Linked DNA regions of Canis lupus familiaris. The protein of the gene in region 1 purifies or fractionates together with the protein of each later gene. This does not show direct contact. Links are inferred from orthologs where the notes say so. Each region holds a gene or a part of one and is shown in the gene's direction. Other genes may lie near its edges.

What was found.
Region 2: the proteins of MED7 (region 1) and CDK8 purify together in Homo sapiens (affinity purification with mass spectrometry; 7 studies listed by BioGRID and IntAct, counting the BioPlex papers as one, with this or other methods). This does not show direct contact. The link is inferred for Canis lupus familiaris from reciprocal best matches to the Homo sapiens genes MED7 and CDK8.
Region 3: the proteins of MED7 (region 1) and MED9 purify together in Homo sapiens (affinity purification with mass spectrometry; 5 studies listed by BioGRID and IntAct, counting the BioPlex papers as one, with this or other methods). This does not show direct contact. The link is inferred for Canis lupus familiaris from reciprocal best matches to the Homo sapiens genes MED7 and MED9.

The regions. Positions count from the first base shown.
Region 1 is NC_049225.1:53,884,359-53,888,439, forward strand, and holds the start of MED7 (mediator of RNA polymerase II transcription subunit 7), read left to right. Parts: upstream 1-1,166; 5' UTR 1,167-1,233; intron 1,234-4,081. UniProt on the Homo sapiens protein: Component of the Mediator complex, a coactivator involved in the regulated transcription of nearly all RNA polymerase II-dependent genes.
Region 2 is NC_049246.1:13,124,032-13,127,315, reverse strand, and holds part of CDK8 (cyclin-dependent kinase 8), read left to right. Parts: intron 1-847; coding exon 848-945; intron 946-1,645; coding exon 1,646-1,724; intron 1,725-1,844; coding exon 1,845-2,003; intron 2,004-3,284.
Region 3 is NC_049226.1:42,179,873-42,182,477, reverse strand, and holds the end of MED9 (mediator of RNA polymerase II transcription subunit 9), read left to right. Parts: coding exon 1-175; 3' UTR 176-1,993; downstream 1,994-2,605.

The DNA.
Region 1 (4,081 bases):
TAAAAAAGATTTTATTTATTCATGAAAGACAGAGAGACAGGCGGAGATGTAGGCAGAGAGACAAGCGGGCTCCATATCTGGAGCCTGTCGCAGGACTTGATCCCAGGACCCTGGGATCACAACTTGAACCAAAGGCAGACACGGAACCACTGAGCCACCCAGGCACCTCTACTAACTTATTTTTAAATGATATAACACCTGTATCCTTATGGGGGAAAATGAGAGTCCTATTTTGGACGTGTATATTAAAACGAAATAATGTCTAGATCTAATGGGTAGATATAGATTGAAGGTGGATAATGAGTACACTTTTTTTTTTAAAGATCTTATCTATTTGAGAGAGGAAGAGAGAGAGCAAGAGCAGTGTGAGGGGAGGGGGAGAAGCAGATTCCCTGCTGAGCAGGGAGCCCAAGTAGGGCTTGATGCCAGGACCCTGGGATCACGACCTGAGCTGAAGGCAGAGGCTTCACCCACTCAGCCACCTAGGCGCCCCTCTACTTTTGCATATACTCGGAATCTCGTTCTTTTCTAAAAAATGAAACCAAGTAATCTTATTTTAGAGGCAAAGTTGAAAACTTTTATCAGAATAACAATTTTCTTTTATGTCCAGTATGCTCTCGTCAGATTTCCACGAATTTATAAGTTTGTTACTTCTTCTGAAAATTACCTCCCAAAAACTTTGATACATTTTTTGTTACCTGGAAACATAGCTATGTTTCAATTCCTAAATGAAAATAAATATGAATGTGAAGAAATAGAAACTGAGAACGCTATGAATTCCCGATCTCGTTCATAAATATTTCCAGATTGAAAATAAATGTAATGCTATTTTGGACAGTAGGATTAGAGTCGATCTAATTTTTAAAAATCGGCTTATCTGCATTTTCTAATTTTCATGTAAGGCAAACGGATAAGTTAATCTCAGGTGTCAAAAAAAAAAAAAAGATAACAAAGGAGCGAAGCTACCAGTTGCAGCTTTTACTGATAGAAAGTACTAGCACAGACACCCCCACGCCCGAGGCCGCCGGCGACCCGACCGCCGAGGGCGCGGGGAGATACGCGCAGGCGCAGTAGCAAGGTTTTGGTTGGAGGCGGGACTAGAGCGGCGGCTAACATACAGTTCTCTCAGCCAATCAAGGGGCAGTGTCACGGGCTTCTTCCTGGAGGAGGTGGCCGGAAGTCGGCTTTCGGTTGCGGAGGCGAAGGCGGCTCCAGCGTCAAGCCTGGGCTGAGGTAAGTGGGCGGCGACGGCTTGCGGCTTCGTGCCGCGTGCGTCTCGCCTTCCGGACCCCGCGGCTCCCCCAGGGCCGGCTGGGAATGGGGGAAGCCTGGCGCGGACACGCTCCGTCACCTTCCTCTCCCACATCCCTCGGAGATGCGGCCTCGCTGCTGCTCGCGGGGAGCCGGGCGGAAGGTGCCGTCGGCGCGGCGCGCTCGGGGCTTCCTCCGTGGGGGAGCCCTGAGTTCCAGTCCCGCGCCGCGGGTGTGCTGAGCCGGGCGGACGTGGCGGGCCTCGGCCCCCGGGCCTTGCCCGCGCTCGTCGGGGATGGAGCCTGAGGTCGGCCGCGGTAGTGCGGGGTGCAGGAGGCCGCGATCCCAAGCCTGGTGGCCACGTCGAGGGGGAGGTGTTCGGGGGCGGGGCGGGACCCTGGAATGCCTTCCTGTCGGCTGAGCCCCACGGAAGGGGGGTCTGGGGTCCGGTCACCGGCCGTGACGCTTGGCGCCGGTTTCAGTGGAGACACCGCCTCGGAAGAGTTGGCCCCAGAGAAGCGGTGGAGGAATGAGCAGAATCGGTGCGACTCGTCAGGTTGCTTCCGTGGGCGAGCCTGCCCTGGGCCGCGGAAAGGAGCCGGGATGAGGAGCGTTGCCGTGGACTCGCTAGCCCCGACGCGGCGCAGGCGGCCCCTCCGAGACGCGGAGTCTTCCTCTCGCGAAGGAAGCTGACAGGCGTGTGAGGAAGACCGAGAGGCTTTTTTTTTTTTTTTAATTTTTTTTTTTTTTAAAGATTTTATTTATTTATTCATGAGAGACCCAGGCAGACGGAGAAGCAGGCTCCTTGCAGACGTGGGACTCGATCTCGGATCCCCGGATCCCGCCCTGAGCCACCCAGGCGTCCGCCGAGAGGCTTTAAAACGTGCCAGTCACGTGGGACTGGGAACCTGCACGTTGAATAGAGGAGTGCTTGTGGCTTGTGGCGTGGGGAGGCGCGGAACCGGGCGCCCAACTAAAAATGCTTGAGTGAGGCAGAGCCTGGGCTGTCTCTTACAGTCGCTTTTGAAGTAACCAGATCAATGCTAATTCTCTGATTTTGGTAGTAATCACATATAAACACTGTTTATCACCCCCACCTCCACCCCCCACTCCCCGCAAGCAGTTTTACCCCTTTTACTCGAGGGCCGCCTTATATTACAGAGAAATATTTTATCCACTCCTCATATTGATGAAGTCATGGATGATTTCCGGCTTTTCCTACTCTTTTCAAACCTCGCTGCATTAAACACCCTTGGTGCACATTTTTATGCACTTGTGACGTAGGACAGATGTTAGGGTTTGAAACCAACAGCCAAGAAAGAGTTCTTGAGACGTCTGTGGTGCAAAAAAGTGGTCTTTATAGAAGCATGAGAGGGCAAGACCCTTGGACAGAAAGAGCTGCCCTGGGAGAGTGCGACCTCTGCTGGCATCCAGCGCCTGTCGCATGGAAGGTGTTCTAATATTTGTTGAATGATGGAGTATTTGAAATCTCGATAGTCCGTTAGATGAAAAGTATTCTTTTTAAAACTTTGCTTTTAGAAGTATATTAGTCTGAATAATTTTCTGCTTTTATTCAGCATTTGCATTTCCCTTGTCTTTTTTTTTTTTTTTTTAAGATTTTATTTACTTGAGAGAGAGGGAGCTAGCCCAGCGTGGGGAAAGGCAGAGGGAGAAGGGAGAAGCAGATTCCCTGCTAAGCTGGGAGCCGGATGCGGGCTCAATCCCAGGACCCTGAGATCAGGACCTGAATCCATGACTTGAGCCAAAGGCAGAAGCTTAACCGACTGAACCACCCGAGCCCTCCTCCTTGTCCTCTTTTGTCTATTATTCTGTTTTAAAAAACGGAGGTTAAAAAAAAAAAAAAAACTCAATCAGTGGGCCTTTATTGAGGATCTTTTAGGTGTTGAGGTGCTGGAGATGGAGTTGTGTATTCGGCAGTTCCTGAAGTCCTAGTGCCCTCCTTCCGGTGGGAGTGGAGTCAGAAAATAAATTTTTGAAAAGTCAAAATAAAATTTCCAATATTTGCTCTGTTAGCTTGCAGGCATTTTTCTCCCAAAAGAATGGGATTGTCTTTTAATTTTGCTTATGATAATTTTCCTGTGTGGAATTTTTAGACTTATTTTTGGTAGAACTGTTGGCCTTCTGTAGGAGCCTTAAAACTTGGTAGTTATTTTTGTGTTTTTTTTGTTAGGTTGTAAGTGGCACTAAGATGGAAGCAATGTTTTTTTGTTTATCCTTGATAATGTAGAGTAGTGTTTAAGATACTATGGTTCTGAATCCTTCCTCTACTACTTAATCTGTGACTTTATGCAAGTGGTTCAACCTGAATGCTTTATGAGCCATCCAGGAGATCAGGCAGTTTGGATTAGAGCTAGAAAGTACAGAGTCATAAACACAGAACAGGGCTTCTCCACTTTGGCACAATATTTTGACATTTGGGGCTGGGATAATTCCTTTTTGGGGGCTGTCATACGCATTGTAAGTGTTCGGCAGCATCCCTAGCCTCTACCAGTTAGATGCCAGTAACACCCCATCCCCCAGTTGTGACAAGTAAAAATATCTCCAGACCTTGCCCTATGTTTCCTGGTGGGCAAAATTGCCCTTGGTTGAGAATGACTGGTAGAAATGGTGTTAAAAGCCAGGGAATTAACTAATAATCACCCAAGGGAGAATATAAAACAGAAGTCTAAAACTATTGGCCCACAGACCACAAAGATTGTAGATAAGTTCTTTTTGACCTCACAAGACTTGACCATTTCTAGAACTAATTACCAGTATTTAAAAATTGAGAGATTCTGCATGAAATCTGGATTTTTGCCCTCTTTTAAGA
Region 2 (3,284 bases), on another chromosome or scaffold:
ATAAAGTCTTAAATAAACTGTTTTAACCAAAAAAATACTGAATTTTCACATTAGTGTGACATTTTTATAGGTAGCAAAATAATAATAATACATAGTGCTTTCTTTGTGTCAGGTACCTTTAGAATTGCTTTCCATATATTAACTCATTTAATTCTGAAAACAAACCTATGGTAGCTGGCACTATTTTTAATCTCCATTTGACAAATGAGGTTGCAAAGAGATTAAGCAACTTGTCCAAAGTCACTCAGATAATAAAGGTCTTCAAGTCTCCATTCATAACCCCTCTGTACTTCACAAGTTCTGTATCAAGCACCATATTTATTTAGACAGGGATAACACTGGCCAGGAGAGCTTTCTCTGATGATCTGTGCTGTGCAATAGGATAACTCCTAGCCACATGTGGCTCTTGAGCTCTAGAAATGTACCTGATATGATTGAGAAATTGATTTTTTTAAGTTTAATTTGGTTTTAAATCTAAATAGTCACATGTGACTACTCTATTATTTGTGTTATAATAGTTTTTTTCCCTTTATAGAAAAAGAATAGAAAATATAAGAGTTTAGTCTTGTTCTAAATTGGACAAAACAATTTGCATAATGTAGATCATTGGTTTAGAATAAGGTAAAGGTTTTGTTTACTTCTTAGAACCAAGTAAGATCATGATTATTAGAATTACTAAATGTGAATTACTATGTTAAATGTAATAATCCAGTTTTTCTCTTGTTAATTTGGGGGAATAAATACCGCTCAAATTGTAGTGTTTCATCAAAAAACATGTACATCCCACATATGGCCAAGGATATAACTATAAGAAATAACACAATGTTTTTATGATTTATGATTTCAGCTTCAGAAGTTACTTACTATGGACCCAATAAAGCGAATTACCTCAGAACAGGCTATGCAGGATCCCTATTTCTTAGAAGATCCACTTCCTACATCAGAGTAAGTGATCAGTTTATTAACTCACCAGCATGATAGAATTTTCTGGAGTGGGCTTGTTTGAGTTGTCAACTCCAAGTTGCCACTCGCATTACATGGGGACCTAGGGAAATCCCAGTGACATGAGCTCTGATGACTGAGGTGTCATTTAGGGCTTTTACAGTGAAAAGGCATTCCTGTTCATGTCTTACTTTATGAAACATTACCAGCTTTATTTTCAGCCGTGCCCCAATTATTCAGTGACAGGTTAATTATGCATGCTGTAGCTCACTCAGACTCACTGAGATGGCCCACTGCTTACAGTTACAGTTTTGTGTTTTAATTACAAAATCCCATTCCCAAATAAATTTGTGTTCCCCATGTCATCTCTTATGTGTAGAAGGGAGAGTAAAAAAAAAAATTGTGTTCAAATAGTGACATTTCCACTGGAATCTATATTTGGATTGTAACAATAAAAGAGTGAGTCTGGGATAAAAGAAAGTTGAGTCATATTCGATGATTATTGATTATTTTCACACAATGAAAATCCTTCCCATGGTCTGCTACAATGTCCCTAGTTAGAAGAAAAGATTCATTTTGGCACAGTTGCATGAAGGGTGCTTATTTTACAAATAAGGACACAAAGTCCATCTTAAAAGATTAAAATGAAGCATCTGAGATACTGATTAGCATACTAGAAATTTTCTTTTTTTGTTGTGAGCAGCGTTTTTGCCGGTTGTCAAATCCCTTACCCAAAACGAGAATTTTTAACAGAAGAAGAACCCGATGACAAAGGAGACAAAGTAAGTATTAAAGTACATTTGGCTGCTGCTTGTTTTATTCCATCTACCGTGTAACATTTTCTTGTTTGTATTTGGTTCTCCTTCTGAGTTGAACTTTATTTTTCTGTTTAACCAATTGAGAAGAACCAGCAGCAGCAGCAGGGCAATAACCATACTAATGGAACCGGTCACCCAGGGAATCAAGACAGCAGTCATACACAGGGACCCCCATTGAAAAAAGTGAGAGTTGTTCCTCCTACCACTACCTCAGGTGGACTCATCATGACCTCAGACTATCAGGTATTTCCAGTTCATTGTGTATTGACTGGCCATATCAGTATTTGTAGATGGGTTTGTGACCTAAGAAAATGCTGACCTTCATGTCCCCGGGGAAAATATAGTGATGTGAGTTGTTATTGGCACAGCAGAGTACTGACTGTGGTACCGGACAGGGGGCCGACTTTTGAACTAAACAGACCTGGAATGATCAGACTTATAAATTATGCCATTTATGAACTGTGTGACCTTGGACAAATAAAATTTCCTGGCCTTTTCACCTGTAAAATGAGACTAGCCAAGCCTTGCTTGTAGTTGTTATAGGAATAGACATGATAAGTCCTAGCACCTGACTTATAGTAGGAGCTCAATCAGTATTGTGCATTGTTTTGAAACAACAGGTATATCAAGAATGATTAAGAATGATTAAGAAAGCTACATCTAAGGCTTTCAGGGGCATCTGGGTGGCTTGGTCTGTTAAGCTTCTGCCTTTGGCTCAGGTCATGATTCCAGGGTCCTGGGATTGAGCCCGTATCAGGTTCTGTGCTCAACAAGGATCCTGCTTCTCCCTCTCCCTCTCCCCTCTGCTCATGTTCTCTCTTGCTTGCTCTCTCTCAAGTAAATGAATAGCATCTTTAAAAAAAAACACAGACTTTCAGATCCCAGCCTAGCCACTGACTTTGGGTAACCTTGAGTAAAGTAATTCAGATGTTCTCAGTTTTCTCATTTGTAGAAGTGATGATGGCAAGTGTGAGGTGGTAGCAAGGATTAAATGAGAGGACGTACGCTAAGGCACAGTGGCTAGCATGCCATAGTGCTTAACAGATGTTACCACTTTTTATCATTTTTATTATCATTATCATCAAAATTATTAGTAGTGTTCATAGTATGCAGTAAGCATTTACTAAGTGGTGGTGGTGGTGCTGGTGATAACTAATAATAAGAGTTTGTTGGGTGTTTACTATGCCAGCTTTTTTACTAAGCATGAAACTTACATTATTTCCTTTGATCATTATGGGAACTCTGTGAGTAAGGGTTATTGTCATATCAGAGATGCTCAGAGAAGAACTTTCACATATTTACCTGTTGAGCTGGGGGTAGACCCAGGATACAGTCTAAGATCTGACAACCAAGACTGCTCTGTTGCCTGCCTGTGGATCCCATCAAGTGGTATTGTCAGTTTCTTTGCAGAAAGACAACTTGGAAAATCATATACCACCTCCCTGCTTAATTCTAACCATATTGCCAACTTACGGATCTCAGTGTGGAAAGGACACTGAAACCTCGACCACTTAGAGTTATTTA
Region 3 (2,605 bases), on another chromosome or scaffold:
CCTGAAAACCAAGTTCCAGGAGATGCGGAAGGTCATCAGCTCCATGCCGGGCATCCACCTGAGTCCTGAGCAGCAGCAGCAACAGCTGCAGAGCCTCCGGGAGCAAGTCAGAACCAAGAATGAACTTCTGCAGAAGTACAAGAGCCTCTGCATGTTTGAGATCCCCAAGGAGTAGATGAGGCCGCCTTCCAGGAATGCCTGAGAAAGAAAAGGGAGACCACGCGTCCTCACTGTCCGCCCCCCCTCCCCCCACACACACACCACCTCAGAGTGTAGATCTTTCAGACTCCAGCTGTGAACTTTGTAACCGAGAGGCCTGGGGGTGGGGGGCTGCTGCTGTAGCTGCTTCTGTAGCTGAACTTGGCATTGACTATGTGAGGAGCCAGCGTGCAGGCTTGGCTTTGTCAGGGCCTCCTTGTAGTGTATATATCCATATGTCTAGATGCATAATAACTTGAGTGCCTGCTGGTGGAAGGAAGAATGTTCCTGGAGGCTGGGGAGGGGGTAGAGGATTCTGCTCCTGCTTCCGGTGAGGGGGCCATCTGCTGTGTATTCAGGCTCCACTGGCAGATCGGGAGAGCACAGGAGGAAAGAAGGTGGCTCCTCTTTGCTTCCTGCCCTCCCTCTTCTCCCACTCTGGGTATGCTCCGTGTGTACCAGGTACATGTTCTGTTAACAGCAGTGTCATGAAACATTTGCATAGAATTCACTGGACAAATTGGAGCTGCACTCATAGGGCATGGATTTCAAGTATTAGAAGAAAACCAGGAAAGCATGAATATTGTTCTGAAGGACTGCAACAGGGTGACTTCCTCCCTCTCCCGCCCCCACTGAAAAACTTTGTTTCCTTTTTATGTTTGAGCCAGTGAATATAATTGGGTCTTTGGGGGTGTCAACCCAGAGCCCTGCAGGCACCTTCTGTCTTAGGTTCTCTGCCACCTACGTGTCCTGTTACTTTTAGCTCTTGCTCCCTTTGTCTCCTGTGCCCTGGAGTCAGCTCATCCAGCCATGTAATGCTCGAGAACGACCAGACCACTTCAGACCCCATGGTGCTTCCCACGGGCTGGAGAGAACCATTGTCTCCACACAGGCTTCCGGGTGAGCGGGCCCTGCCTCTTTTCATTTCAGATTCCTCTTGTCCTGGTTTAAAAAATTAGTCTCCCGTCTGGCCTTCTCACTGAAGAGTCGACCGAACGTTGACTGCACTGCAGAGGTGACCATGATGCACTGTTCAGAGAAGGGTGGCTGCAGTGACCGTTCTGATCACCCATCAGTTCCGAGTCCCTTCTGAAGGATGAAGGAGGGCGACCACCTACAGCCTGGAGTTCTGCAGCCCCACTCTGGTTTCATTAATATTCAGAACGTCCCTCATTTCTGCCAACAGGACTTTTATTTGCGTGCTCTTCGCTTGACTGTCAAACTGACATGACAGCCTCTTAGCCTCTTAAAGACGAGGTGAGAAGTAGTCACATATTGTTTAGATCTAGAAATGGGCACATAACCTGTGCTGAGAAAGCCAGGGGCTTAACAGATGCCCGCCGATTGACCTCGTTGGCAGAGTACTGGTTGGACATGTTAGCAGGGGTTCCATTTGTGCTGCCCCACAGCCACCTGTCAGAAGGTGGTTAGTGCATGGGGCACTGGGACATGTGAAGGGCGGTATTCGGTTTCAGTGGCTTTGGACAGAAGAGCGGGCTCTGAATTGAAGTGGGTAGCCGCCTAGTCAACCACTCCCACCCTGGGACTGTTATATTTAACTGAATCAGTTATGGCCTTGAAATTTCAGGGTAGTGTGGGCCCGTTTTAAGGCTCTGACCAAATAGGAAACACAAAGCATCTAGAAATATAACCAGCGAGGCTTTTCCGCACGGCTAAAACGGATGAGGGCTCTTCCGAGGGCAGAGGGAGATGGAATCTTCCCTGTGTTCCAGGGTTTTGCCTTGTGACATTTTTCGAGAGTATAATTAAAAGAACTTGTACTCTGCTCTCGGGACACCTTGGTTTTTGTACTGAGAAATTCATTATAGGATGTCTCTTGGATAATTGAGAGGAAGATGTTCACTTTGCTTAAGGGGAGACAGAACGTATGGTGAGAACCTCCTCCCTCTCAGCACGCAAATGGCAAAACCACTGTCAAAACCGAGTAAGTGCCCTGAGGAGAGACATCTGTCCCCAAGGACCCCGTTGGCCTGACGGGTCATCCTTCCCAGCTGGGCCTGGCCCTCTGGGCCAGGCCTGGGCTCAGTCCCCAGGGCGCAGTCCTCCATGGAGCAGGGTGGAAATCCCTCCTTGGGACTATACTGAATGCCCCTCCCAGGGTTGAGCACCCTGAGCCACCAATTATTTGCTGGGTGGCAGGTACTTGGAATAAGTACTTATCAAACACCTCACTCCTCACAGTATCCCCACCCAGAGGGTGCTCTGTCTTGTGGATGAAGAATTTGAGGCTTGGCAGGTATCACTTGCCCCAAGCTTGCAGTTACAAGTGGCAGAAAGAGCTGGGTCCTGAGTCCGGAAGGGGTGCCCTCAACTCCCAAAGAGAAGGAGACCGTGAGGTAGAGAAGGTATCAGACCTGCCCCCAGGGCAGCAAGTGCTTCTCAAGGC